2 linked regions of the Neodiprion lecontei genome follow. The protein of the gene in region 1 purifies or fractionates together with the protein of each later gene. This does not show direct contact. Links are inferred from orthologs where the notes say so. Each region holds a gene or a part of one and is shown on either strand. Other genes may lie near its edges.

Region 1 (7,651 bases):
ACATCCACCCACTTGACACATTGTATAATTGAAAACAACAATTATGATTTTATTTTCACTTTATCTTTGGACAAGTTTTTTTTTATCCCTCGTCCAAATTTTTTCATTCGTATTTGAGAAGAATTTTCTCAAAAGAATAATATTAGATTATAACTTTCACAGAAAAAGACGTACAAATGTCCGTATATTTACATTATTAATAATAGCATTAATAATAATCGTAGGATTATGACCACAACGAAAAGAACCAAGTAATTGTAAAAATTATTCCTTAATTTTATTGTACCACTGTTACGTACAAACTAGTTTAAAATAAGTCTACAATAGTCGGTAAAAAATAGTTACTACCTAGAACGCGATTAGCTCTATTTTACGAATTAAAAAACAGGCTCTAGCAAGCATCAGATAATAATATACCCTTTGACAGTACGTAAAAAGTGATAATTACTTTTACTGTTTATTAAATGAAGTGGTAGGCGTATTATTACAATGACGGATAAGTCAATATTGAAAAGAAATATCAGTTGACATGTGACTGGGGAATTGACATTACAATCAATTTTATCGCTAAGCAGACTTTCAAGTTTGGTTCATTGATCTCATAACGACTGTTATTCGAAAAGTATGTATTTATGTATGTATGTATGTAACGCAATTTTAAAATCACCCATTTGAACAGACCTTCCGGAATATATTGGATTTGTACAAACTTTGTGACCGATTACGTAAATTGGGTGTAATGCGGAGAGTGAAAGTTTAAAATCACATTAACATTCCATTTAAATGCTTCAAATTTAGATACAGCATGATCCTGTCTGATCGAATTCACAATCAATATATTTTCACGTAGATATTCTTAATATAATGCATTTATTATTCAATATCAAGTCCTATAACAATGGACATTGAATCATAGATTTTGGGCCAAAAGCATCCCTCGCTGTAAATTGTAAACTCACAATAACTTCACAAGCACATGTGCTTTTGCAGATGAATGGGCCGTAGAGACTGCATTAAACGTTCGCAGAAGATAAGAAACCATTCAAAAATATCCAACAATGTTATGTGCACCAATTGTGGTAAACGCGTATGAAAGACCATTAATATCTGTGTAATGGAAATCAATGTGAACAAACCGAATAACATAAGCTAAGATATCAACAATTCAAGATAAAGTTTTATACTTAGAACGTTAAAAAACATAAAACTGAGTTTTTTTTAATCCGATTCTAATGTTTATGGCATTATTTGTTCATTATAGAGACTTCTAAATAACCTAGAAAAAATGTTACTTCAAGTAATCCTCAGAGTGAATAAAAGTATTTTTATATAAGTACGATATAACAGATGTTCGTCAACAGTTACATTTGTGTATTGTAAGTGTATACTAGAATGTGAAATTTCTGGAATGTTTTTCACACAATTTGTGGAATTTTGGACAGCTAGTATGATGAGCACAAACACATTAGAATTCGATGAAAAACATCAGAGTAAATTGATTGAAACACTATATTTATGCAACCTTTTCACTTCATCAACCTTATTGACGACTTTAGTGTGTGTGATCCGAATTTGCTAATAATCATTTCTATTACGTAGTAGGGATGTTGTTTTATTTGCGTTTGCTATCATTGGTGCAAACAATATTGCAGATTTTTTGAACGAGTTTTTCTCTTCGACTGACTTTTGACTTAAGCACTAAGGCTCATTGATCCGAAAACAAACGTATAATCGTTTCCTTTCGCAAGATTTAACGACATTTTGGCTACAAAATGGAAAAACCCTTTACGGACAGGACAAATTTGATACAACAAATGCCAAGATTTGTTTAAAACGGTGAAATCCAATGCGGAATAACATGGTGAACTAGAAATCGCAAGATTGGTAAATCTGCTCGGAAATACGTTACTTCATATTGGTTTAATTAAGACTATTTTTCTTCCACTTAGATGCTGTTTACAATTAAACTTTGACCGTGTCATCGTACTAAGCCGATGCATTCAAAATTAGTACAATTTCAGCGAACGTAAAGATACGAACTGACTCCGAGTCGAGGTTTAACTGCAGTGCAGCACGTTGCTTGCCAAATAAGTCAATCTCACAGAAAGTAATCAGCTTGAGGCTTCTTGCTCGGAATTCCTCGACTCTCTTGCGGTGCTGCTTCAAATATGGTAAAATCTCTTTGGAGGTGTTCATTCAGTTCTAATATCGCTGCTACGTTACCACATCTGTATGAAGTAAGAATGCAACATTTAAAATTGATCAGTATTGAAATAAAAAAATTCCATCTGTCTGTCTATTAGAGTATCGGGTCCAGTGTGGTATTACTGTTGCACTTTTGTGTCGATAAAATCTCGACAATCAGGAAAATGATTGAAATGTGTCTTTTGGCATTACGCTACGTTTCAGATATTTTCAAAGTAGTAGACTATGAAGCTGATTGTAAGGTCAAAGGTTTGAAGTGGTAAGGTGATATCAGACAACAAAAATTAAATACCTGTCATCAGAAGCTTCTATGAAATATAAGATTTATCTCTGAGAAAATATTTTTAAAACGCATTCCCAATATTTTGATACTCTTGATTGAATACTGTTGTTAAATTGTATAGAAGGGTATTACAGTGACTCAATGGTTAATTATATAAGAAGAAAAATTACCTGTAGCAATAGTTTGGCGCTGACCAAACCGTAAGGACTGTTTCATTAAAATGCCACTTGTACCCTTCCATGACTAATTGATGGGCTCGACAAATCATGTCTATGTCATTAGCAGAGTTGAACTGTGCAACAACGTCGCTACCAAACAAATATCCAGCGCCTCGAGGAGAAACGCCCCATCCTTGCGTATCCTCAGGATCTGACCAGAGCAAATCACACATTGGACCGTCGTGTGGTACCTGAAATTATTGTGAACGAATTGAATTGAATTCGTGGTGGTGACAAAATCTCAAGGTAGTTGGTCAGCCATAAATGAATACTTTTCATCAATTTTATTGCAAAATAATTGTATTCAGAGTATTTATGCAGATATTATATACATATGGTGAGAAAATCTCTTCAAAAATACAAAAGTAGAAAATACTGACATGATAAACAAAAGCTTAAATATCGATGCGTTGTTTCGAGTTACTTCAAAATCGGTTAAAAACTTAGTAGATTCGCTCGATTTCACTCGATGATGGCTCATTTTATTCAGGAGACTAATTCCTACAAATTAACTAAAACATTTTTTTCACCTGACGCAATCCGTGAATATCTAATTTAACGACATGAGGAAAAAAGAAAATTTATTTCAGTGACTTTGTAGAAAATGGTCTTCCGAATAAAATGAGCTTTTGTGGAATGAAATTGAATGAAGCTACTAGATTTTCAACCATTTTCAAATTAATTGAAATAAACCATCAATATGTAACCTGTACTTTATAGGTGATTGCAGTATTTTCTATTCTCGTTTTTTCAAAGAGCTCTTCTTAGCTCTGAATATAGTAATTTGATAAATGCTCAATAAATAATTATTTTGTAATAAAATTGATGAAAAAGTAGATTTGTGGTTAACCATCTTCCTTAACTTTTATATTTTCTTAATTGTCGAATTTGCATTGACGCTAATTTTTAGATAAAGCATAATCCGTATTAAACAACATACCTCTTGTTTCCTATCTATTGTTCTAATTTGGTCCAGTGTTTGAATACTAGGTGAAAGACCACCGTGAACGCAGAATATCTTTCCATCGATTATCGCCGACAGGGACAGGTAATCAAATATCTCTGTGCAGTATCGCCACACTGTTATGCTTCCATACTTGCGCAAGCATTCGTCATAGAAACCATAAACCTGCGTTATCTGTCTCGATTCATGATTACCACGGATCAGGGTTATTCTGTCGGGATAGCGAACCTGCAAACATTGTTATTCACGATTTGAAAATAAAAAGAGTCATAATTGTGTACACTGGATAACTTTCGTTAAATTTTTAACTCTGATATTTCGCTTAACATATTTATTATATCATTTATTTAATACTTATTTTTAGTAGTTTTTAATGTATAGTGTGTAATCAATATAGCTGAAGTTTCTTGTAAGAATACCATCGTACTTTTAAAGCAAGAAGAAGCAAGAATGTTTCAACACTGTAAAATCCCCTGTCAACAAAATCGCCCATGAAAAGGTAGTTCGTTTCAGGAACATCGCCACCCACTTTGAACAACTCTTTTAGATCATAAAATTGTCCGTGTATATCACCGCAAACCTAAAAAATATAAATTTATGGTTAATCTTGTTGGAATGAATTGCTAACCAATTCAAAAGATTAAAAGAAAAAGTAAAACTTTGTATTCATCAACAAAAAATTTGTTAATTTGTGAATAATCTGCCTGAGACATTTTTTTGAAGCAATTTTTAGACTGGGAAGTAGATCCTGGAGAACGATAGGTTTTTAGGAGTTGGAATTACAGAAAAGTCTAGGATTGACTTTCAATAGGCAAAATCGTTTTGATGTTCTTCAGCCTATTGATAAAAAATTTTGCAAAATGTGGAAAATTTAAATGATAAGAAGAAGGTACATGCCAAATTCTATGAAAATCAGGATTAATATCAATTATAGGAATTACGAACTCTTGCAAAGTGTATGACATGTCCATTTTGTAACTGTAATTCATGAAATATTAGAATTTTCTGGCGATTTTTTCCTTAAAGGTTAACAATTGTATAATGAAAAAAATTAAGTCATCAAACGAACAGCTAATATTGGCTGGGTTTAAGAGAAAACAGTGGATTTTTATATTTACTGCAAGGGAACCCGTGAAATTAGTGTTCTTAACTCCTCAGAAGAGAAAAGAAACGTTGAGTGTTCTGTGTAGAATTTGAGGACCAATATGCAGCCTACAATTGTGTTCTCAATTCTGCCATCAATATTTAGGTGAAATACATTTTGAGAATCGTATGGCTAATAGAATCTTGTTGTAGTAATGTGGTCTTCACTTTAAAAAATAAATTAATGAAATTTCAAACAGATTTCTGATACACTTCACGCATTTATAGTGACTTTGGAATTAATCGAATATTGGCACATTTACGGGTTCAACGACCAACTTACAGTAACGGGTGAGTCGACTCGCTGCACATTACTTTCTTCGATCAGGATTTCCCTAGCTTTAGCACAGAGAGCCTTAACTTCGGCTTCTTTGATAATCTCGCATTTTTTCAGCTGTTCAATTTGCCGATCCAAATCACTGGAATCGGACATTGCTCCGTTAGTTTACTGCTCCTAAACTGTAAACATATAAAAATACAAATAAAATGTTATATAGACATTTTTACTTTGTTGAAATTTCTGGTTTATAAAAGATCAAACTTTGCATACTCTAAAGGCAGCTAATGATGCAATCTAACCTGAAATATTGAACGCGGTGTTCCAAGTTCAGTTAAATTGTTGAATAATCATGACGGGCCAGTTTAGGCAGATATGTTTGGGTTAGGTAAATTGTGAGGCAGATTGAGGTTTTTGGTCGGAAAACGACCTGAGGTAAAGCACTATGATTACATCGAATGCAAAAGCAGGTTAGTCAAGGAAGATATGAACGGACACAAGTCGCGTAAAGATATCGAGCGATTTTTGAAACAGCAATAAGATTAGGTAAATAATGAAATAGAAGGATGTTTCACAGTACGAGTGAAATAGCAGCCAAGATACGGTAAGAGCATTTCGTTAAAAAAAACTGAGTTTCTAAGTGAAAATAGTTTATAAATCTACTAATTACGATGGATATACGAGAACCTGCGTGTTTAGTGTAATATCGGAGCAAAACACGGAGAAATAAAAGCACTAAGTGCCAAGCATGCAGCTCATGGACAGACTGTAAAATACTAATTCCCTTACCGTCTAGATGAGGAACGGATTATTTTTCGACGAGACTCTAATCACTCGAAGAAGCTGGCTTTTCTCACCGTAATCTCCTGCCGGTCTCCATTTATTTCCGACAATGCATTGCGTGGTGCGCGCGTCGTTCGTTGCAGGGAGACTAGAGTAAAGGAGTGGACACAGCGTGCTTCAGAAATGAACACGAAATCCCGGCCTAAAACGGCGGCGCTGCGATCAAAAAGATCGTAGTCATATATATATATATTTAGATCAGACACACTGTTACTACTTATTTTCTAACCTCAATGTGGCAAAATTCGTGCAGTGTTTATGTTTACATGTGTAAAGCTTTTTGTTATTAATGTGCAGTGTTAATTAATTTATTATGTTTATTAAAATGGGTGTATCAAATTTCGTTGAATAAAAATAAGCTGAAACATTAGGAATCTGTAATTTATCATTTTCGCGTAATGAATCGAGAGAAGCTCAGGACAATTTTGTCCCGTTATTTATGAAAAAAAAGTTTTGACAATTCTCGAAATAGTCTCCTTAACTTCTAATATACTATCATTTAGGTGCGTCACTTTTCATTCTACTGCGCAAGCGCGGATCGGTCACTTTCATCGTGTGGGCCACGGTCTTACGTACAGGTCTGGTAACTCCGGCACTTTTGAGTGGTAGGGGGTGTCACCGTTAGTGAGGCACACGGTCTTGTTTTCTATCCATCCGCTAGGGGCGCCATTGGCCCGGGGTATGATAGATATAGATATATACCGATAAGATAACCTGCTCATCGAAGTTTTTGACAGTTCATAACTCAGTGTAAAGTGTGTAAACGGTGGATCATCTACACAAGATCTCAAACTGTCTCAAAAGTTGTGAGCCCTCGCTTGATGTTTATGGATTTTATTGACTTAAACATTTGAGGATTCCGTTAAAATAAAACAATTATCACGCCCGCCATGGAATGCTAGTAAACATCTCAATCATTTTTTATTCGCATCTTTCTTCATTTTTGAGTGTTATTCAGGATTGTTGATTCCGAAAAATCGGCTGTTCGGATCTGATTTATGATTGGCTCACCCCGAGGGGGCAGCGCTGCAGACGGCGAAGACGAGAACCACGGTTTTGCCTCATTATCTGAGTCATAGCTCACCCTACTAGTTTTGCGGACCTGTATGTAAGAGCGTGGTGTGGACTAATTTTATTACTATATTTACGATCTTTTCGACCTATGTGATGCTAATGGCAGAGCGGAGAACTAATTGAAGAACGGGTTTTTGAGGACGCCGTTACTACTTATTCTCCTATGCTGTGTCCATTCCTTCACTCTAGTCTCCCTGGTTCGTTGGTAATGCTGTTGCAACCATGTATGACGTGTTGCCTGTTCAATACGTGTCTCCATATCAGAGTACCGACGGAGTCAGCACACAGTATTTCATTTGACAAGAGAACTGCGACACTATTCTCTTGTGAACACGGTCTTATAGACAGGTCTGGGAACTCCGGCTGTAAAACCGTGCTCGAAAACGAAGCCGATGTTGTGAATTTTCGCCGCTAGCGCTAGTGAGGGAGAGGCCTACTTAGGGCGTGTTCGGAAATTGACTGAAAATACTGTCAGTACTGAAAATGGTATAGTCCAAGTGACGTATACTGTCGATTTTCAATACTGACAGTACTTTTAGTCAATTTCCGAACACGCCCTTAGTCACGGTCTTACATACAGGTCTGGCAACGAAGGTAGTGGGTGTGGTTGATTTCACGGCCGGTTATTTATCTCACTTTGTGGC
Region 2 (5,329 bases), on another chromosome or scaffold:
CAGCGATGATTTATATTCTACCGTGATTCTATCTTTGGCACCTTCGCTGCCAATGTTATCCACCGTCTCTTTACTGTTGCTCGACAGTTTCCTCATCTCCGATCGCAGCGCGCCAACAGTCCATCGACTCGGCGATTATATCAGCAAACGACTTGTCGAACTTCGACTCTGTGAGCCCGGGATTCTTCGTTTTCCAAGAGACCGCTCAATTTTTATTATTCTGCAGTCTGATCAACTCTAATCCAACGTATTTTGAGCACTACTGTTCATATGTGAATAATGATTATGTAATCATTTTTCGAAACCTACGGATCAGTATAATGGTAAAACCGTAAATTAATTTTAATCATGTCACACATGAAATTTGGTACAATTTTTCACCCTTTTAGGTAATTGTGCCCACTTGAGTAGCAAATGTTTCATTGCGAGTTTCGGGTTTCGAATCAACTTTCCCAATTGTAATTTTCTAGGTTTGTATGAATATGGATTTGTTGAATAAGAAAATATTAGGTACAAAACGATATACATGTACGTATACATATTTCGCTATACATATACATACATGAAAACGAATTTATTGTTATGTTCGATATATCGAACATAGAAGTGTTTCGTTAATAAGTAAAATTATAATGATAATAATCGGCGACGATTCACGTCGCCGGTTTACAAATGCGTGTAGTTGTGTTCGGTTAAATAAGCGTGTTACGCGTTTTAGTCGTCACCTATGATGCGGAGAAGCGCAGTTCAATTTAATGGACAATTAATGAAATTACAAAGAATTGAAACGGAAAGCGCGCCCCGTTTAACAGTGACCACGGTCCTGGACGCGTTTTCGCGGTGCTGCCTTAAGAATGTTGTCAACTCGGAGTATCATTTCGGCGGCTTCAGACGCACTCAGGACGACTTGTCGCTTCACAGCCCACGACTCTGTGATTCCGAGTTTTTTCATGCAGCCGATTTTACCCTCCTCCATATCTGTAGTAGGAAATACGAAACATTATAGTTATCCTGTGAATATCGATTCTGAGGATTCGGCCTTGAAATTCAATACTAACCAAGTCCCATTGTTGAGGCTCCCGAATTATGCGCGGCTCTGAGCTCGCTGATTAGCTGAGCTGAGTCGTAACCCGCGTTGTCTGCAATTACTATAGGTAACTGCTGAAGAGCTCTAGCGTACGCTTCCATGGCAACAGCCTCTTTTCCAGGGGTAGCAGTGGCAGCTTTCATCACTGCACAAGCCATAGCCATTTCGCTGCAACCTGTTAGGATTTTTATAAGGCTTAGGATTACAAGGAAAAAACTGTTGTGTGCTCTTACTAAATTGTGGAGCGCGCACTCCCATTTGTTTGCGTAACATTTTGAATAAAATCCGAGTATTCAACGCAGCAACCAAATTATTTTTGCACCGGCGTTTTGGTAAAACATGAGAAATTTTTTACCTCCTCCAAATACGATACGCGACTCGCGTACTGTAGCTGCCAGTACGCAGAGAGCGTCGTGTAATGAACGCTCAGCTTCATCTAGGATTTGTTGAGTAGCGCCTCTGATGACAACGGTGCAAGCTTCACCGAGAGCTACACCCGAAAAACGAAGAAGAGAGTCTTCTCCAATCATAACCTGTAGTGATTCAAACGATGATCAGAATTGTTGATACAATTTTCTGAATTAAATAGGTTGCAAGGCATACTTATAGTATCCAAGATCTAGAGACACACCTGCTCTATTAAATCACATTTGCCAAGTTTGACCAGTTCGGGATGATCGAAGGTACTGACTATATCTCCTCCAGTTACAAGGGCGAGTCTTTCGATACCATCAAAATCTGCATGCTCAATGGCCATCAAACCAGCGTCAGCGAATAACTGTTCTGGATAGTTGTAGATCAACTGCCTGTTTATGAAGACATTGCAGCCATGCTTCACTATTTTGTCAACTTTATCCTGGTTGGGAAGCAATTCATCATTTCAGAGGATATAAAGTTGATTAGTTGGTACGGAATCGTCTAGTTCTGGCCATTACACGTAAGCCTCATATTTTTGCGAATAATTAAGTAAACTTATACGTGAAAATGCGAATGTTGACGTTATTTCAATACCTTCATCTTCTCCTTTTCTGCAGTCTCTAGCTCTGCAATCTTTGCCATCGAATCGACACGTACCCTTGAACCGAAGACCTGAAAGATAATTAATAAATTAATAAAAATGCAAATAAACACGAAATCACACGTATCAGTACAGTGTATCGTGTTATTTCAATAAAAAATGCTGTGACAAGCATAGCTACTACATTCAAGATATTCAATTTATATAGAACTGGAACAGAAGTTTCGAAGAATGCCCAGTCAATTAAAATTGTTTTATTTTAATTTATACCTTGATTTTATCAGTATCCATGGGGGTATTGGCAATCAGAATACGAGCATCGGTGATACGCTGGGGCTGATGAACTCCAGGTTTTTTATCGAGAAGGAAACCTTCATCAAGGAATGAATCAGCCAGAGTGGCACCCCGTTTTTTTATTATTTGTATAGCAGATAAGTTGCCTGAGCCTTTGAGACGCAGTACAGCATCAACAGCCAGCTTGCTAAAGTGTTCTTTATGCTGAGACAGAATCTTTGAACTAAGCGTTGTTCGTGCAATGTTCATAAGATCTTTGCGGAAAGTCTCAGGATCCGCTGAATTATCTGTCGCCGTGTTATGTAGTGCCTCCCTGGCAACCGTAGTAGCGCTACGCCAGCCAGCAATTATTGTCTGCGGATGAATCTTCTGATCTATCAACTTTTCTGCTTCCTTTAGCAATTCAGCCGCTGTTAGGTTTCAGAAAAACAAAAAAACAATTTAATTTGTGATGGATTGCAAACTATTAATGCTGTCTTCAAAACAATTGATTGAACTCAATAGACAAATAAATGAATAACAAACCCAATACTGTTACAGAAGTTGTGCCGTCGCCAACTTCGTCATCCTGCACTCGGCTCATGTCCACAAGTATTTTTGCTGCAGGGTTATCAACACCGACACTCTTGAGGATAGTGGCCCCGTCATTGGTAACCTGAACTTGACCAGCTGATCGTCCATGAGCGACAAGAATCTTGTCCATGCCTTTAGGGCCTAGAGTGGATTTGACCAGTTCGCCAATAGCGATGGCTCCAACAAAAGAACTCAGCCGTGCTATTTCTGCCTTCTCCTCTTCCGCCTCATTCTTTAATATCCTGACAGGATTAAGTGACACCTAAAAAAATGTTTGCTCACTCATATTTTTGTTAAAAAGAATATCATCCGCCGGATTCATAATGTGCAGGAGAGGTTAGGTTGCCGTAGTAGACAAGCAAAGGCGAGACACGGAGATTCAGGGTGTGCCTAATGAAGTCCGCGGTGCAGCTCAATACCACGCGATCATATCGTCGAAGACAACGTCTCCGAATTCCTGTATCAATCCTGTGATGCTCGAGACACGTGCATTTCGTGTCACGCGATTCGCCATCATTTTGATGCGGACACCGGACAGTCAGTCGTGGGAGGATCGACTTCGCCCATCGTTGGGTTTGGATTTTGAGGATTTTATATCCGGGGGTAACGAGGAACGAGATTCGAACGAGACTTAGGCTAGTTTATTAGTTAGCTAAATGCAGTACTGACCATCGTTAATTGTTCGTTATCGCGTACTAAACACCAAATTCAGAAATCACCGCTTCGATGTCGGGCGCCGTGATGTTGAATGATGCTGATCTTGGAACAACGAAGGGCCGACGAATCGCACCGTGCAGAAACAACTAGAAGCCTTGCCTTCGCGCAGCTCTCGCGACCAATCGCGAGATCTGTGAGCCCCAAGTGATTCTTCCGACCGCTAGATACCACCACTCATATTGACTTGATTCCATCTTTCCAATTTCAAGACCAATTATGGTCATTCTGCATCGTAGGACGTCGTCCCACATCTGAATTGAGTAAAATAATGCCTTCAATTGCGAATGGAACAATTTAACAGACTCAAAAACATGTTTCTTCCGCAATTTTGGTTTTTTTCCCTACGTAAAAAATCCTGAATTTCTTTCTTTACGGACGTCCAATGTTTTCCATTTTACTCCTGATCATAGGCAACTTATGACGTTACGCCTGATCGTAGGCGAATGTCGAAGACCTTGTTGCAAGCAATTTACCTTGTTCGTGAACCTAATTGTTAGCAACTGGTCATACATGCGACGATATTTTAATAGTAATTGCAGGCGTAGAAATTCAATGCTGGACTCTGTTAGAGTTCAGTAGCTGTCAGTAGTAACATCTGGTATTGGTGAGGTCGACGAGAACTATTCATGGCTAATGCCCGCGTGCTTGACTCATTCGAAGTCATATTGCAGGAATGCGCAAGAAGAATGCAAAGGATATACGAAGCTGGCTTGGTTACCACACAAAACTGTTTTAGAATTCCAGAGCGGCGCGTTTCAGCTGACTCATCAGTATAACATAGCTATTGATATGATTATAAACGCATTGAGCATGTTTATACGTATAAATGCCGTACCAGTGTCAAGTTTTTTGTATATACAGAATGCTTGCACCACGTACGTTACCTTCATACCGTAAAACCCCGTCTTACGCACTTGTTAAATTAACTGCAAATAAATTCCTGCTTGGATTGGTCCGGATTTTTTCACTCAAACTTCCATTTTATCTCCCCTTATCGTTGGCTTCGGGACGTTCGCGTCCCTGCATCCCCCTTCTTCTAATGTATGTATTTCGCACCCCAAATTGGTGTTGTCTGCGGGGTGCGCAGGTTGCGCGTTCACAGCGTAACGGTCCCTCGCAGCTGTCTACTTCTCTCCCCTCGTCACCTTGCTCGCCCTAACTCCGGTAGCGTCGACAATAGCTTCAGTTAGACGATAGGCGGGTCGAGGATATGCGTATGTGTATGTTTGTCGAGTACAGACTTTCGGTTTAAATCACGTTCCTATAGATGAATTCATTTTTTTATTTGAATTTATTTTTCCCTATTTTCAAATGTGTTTCTGAGATTTCATTGACACAAACGACCACAGATTGAATGTTTGAAAGATTATTCAGTTTTCGAGTTGGATTGCATTTGGATGGTCTGGCACATGCCGCTTGAAATTTCAATAATTTTTAATATCTGCAGAATTTTGAATGATCAGAAACTGTATACTTCCCATTTGGACTGTATGTAATACAGGTTTTGCGCTGGAAGGTAATTGAAAAATATTTTCTTCAAACGGTTCCGCAACTCTGTTCCAAGCACCCGAAGTTACAAAACCCGTTTTTAAGTCAGAGTAACAAGAGCCAGCGAAACCGAGTAAGGGTGCGAGTCAAGG

The links.
Region 2: the proteins of serine/threonine-protein phosphatase 4 catalytic subunit (region 1) and T-complex protein 1 subunit beta purify together in Homo sapiens (affinity purification with mass spectrometry; 4 studies listed by BioGRID and IntAct, with this or other methods). This does not show direct contact. The link is inferred for Neodiprion lecontei from reciprocal best matches to the Homo sapiens genes PPP4C and CCT2.

What each region holds. Positions count from the first base shown.
Region 1 is NC_060261.1:25,917,837-25,925,487, forward strand, and holds serine/threonine-protein phosphatase 4 catalytic subunit, read right to left. Parts: upstream 6,031-7,651; 5' UTR 5,880-6,030; intron 5,273-5,879; 5' UTR 5,247-5,272; coding exon 5,097-5,246; intron 4,251-5,096; coding exon 4,098-4,250; intron 3,899-4,097; coding exon 3,647-3,898; intron 2,898-3,646; coding exon 2,659-2,897; intron 2,229-2,658; coding exon 2,099-2,228; 3' UTR 445-2,098; downstream 1-444. UniProt on the Homo sapiens protein: Protein phosphatase that is involved in many processes such as microtubule organization at centrosomes, maturation of spliceosomal snRNPs, apoptosis, DNA repair, tumor necrosis factor (TNF)-alpha signaling, activation of c-Jun N-terminal kinase MAPK8, regulation of histone acetylation, DNA damage checkpoint signaling, NF-kappa-B activation and cell migration.
Region 2 is NC_060265.1:2,248,824-2,254,152, reverse strand, and holds T-complex protein 1 subunit beta, read right to left. Parts: upstream 3,798-5,329; 5' UTR 3,645-3,797; coding exon 3,642-3,644; intron 3,235-3,641; coding exon 2,925-3,234; intron 2,810-2,924; coding exon 2,376-2,809; intron 2,177-2,375; coding exon 2,099-2,176; intron 1,944-2,098; coding exon 1,719-1,943; intron 1,621-1,718; coding exon 1,443-1,620; intron 1,263-1,442; coding exon 1,059-1,262; intron 979-1,058; coding exon 806-978; 3' UTR 507-805; downstream 1-506. UniProt on the Homo sapiens protein: Component of the chaperonin-containing T-complex (TRiC), a molecular chaperone complex that assists the folding of actin, tubulin and other proteins upon ATP hydrolysis.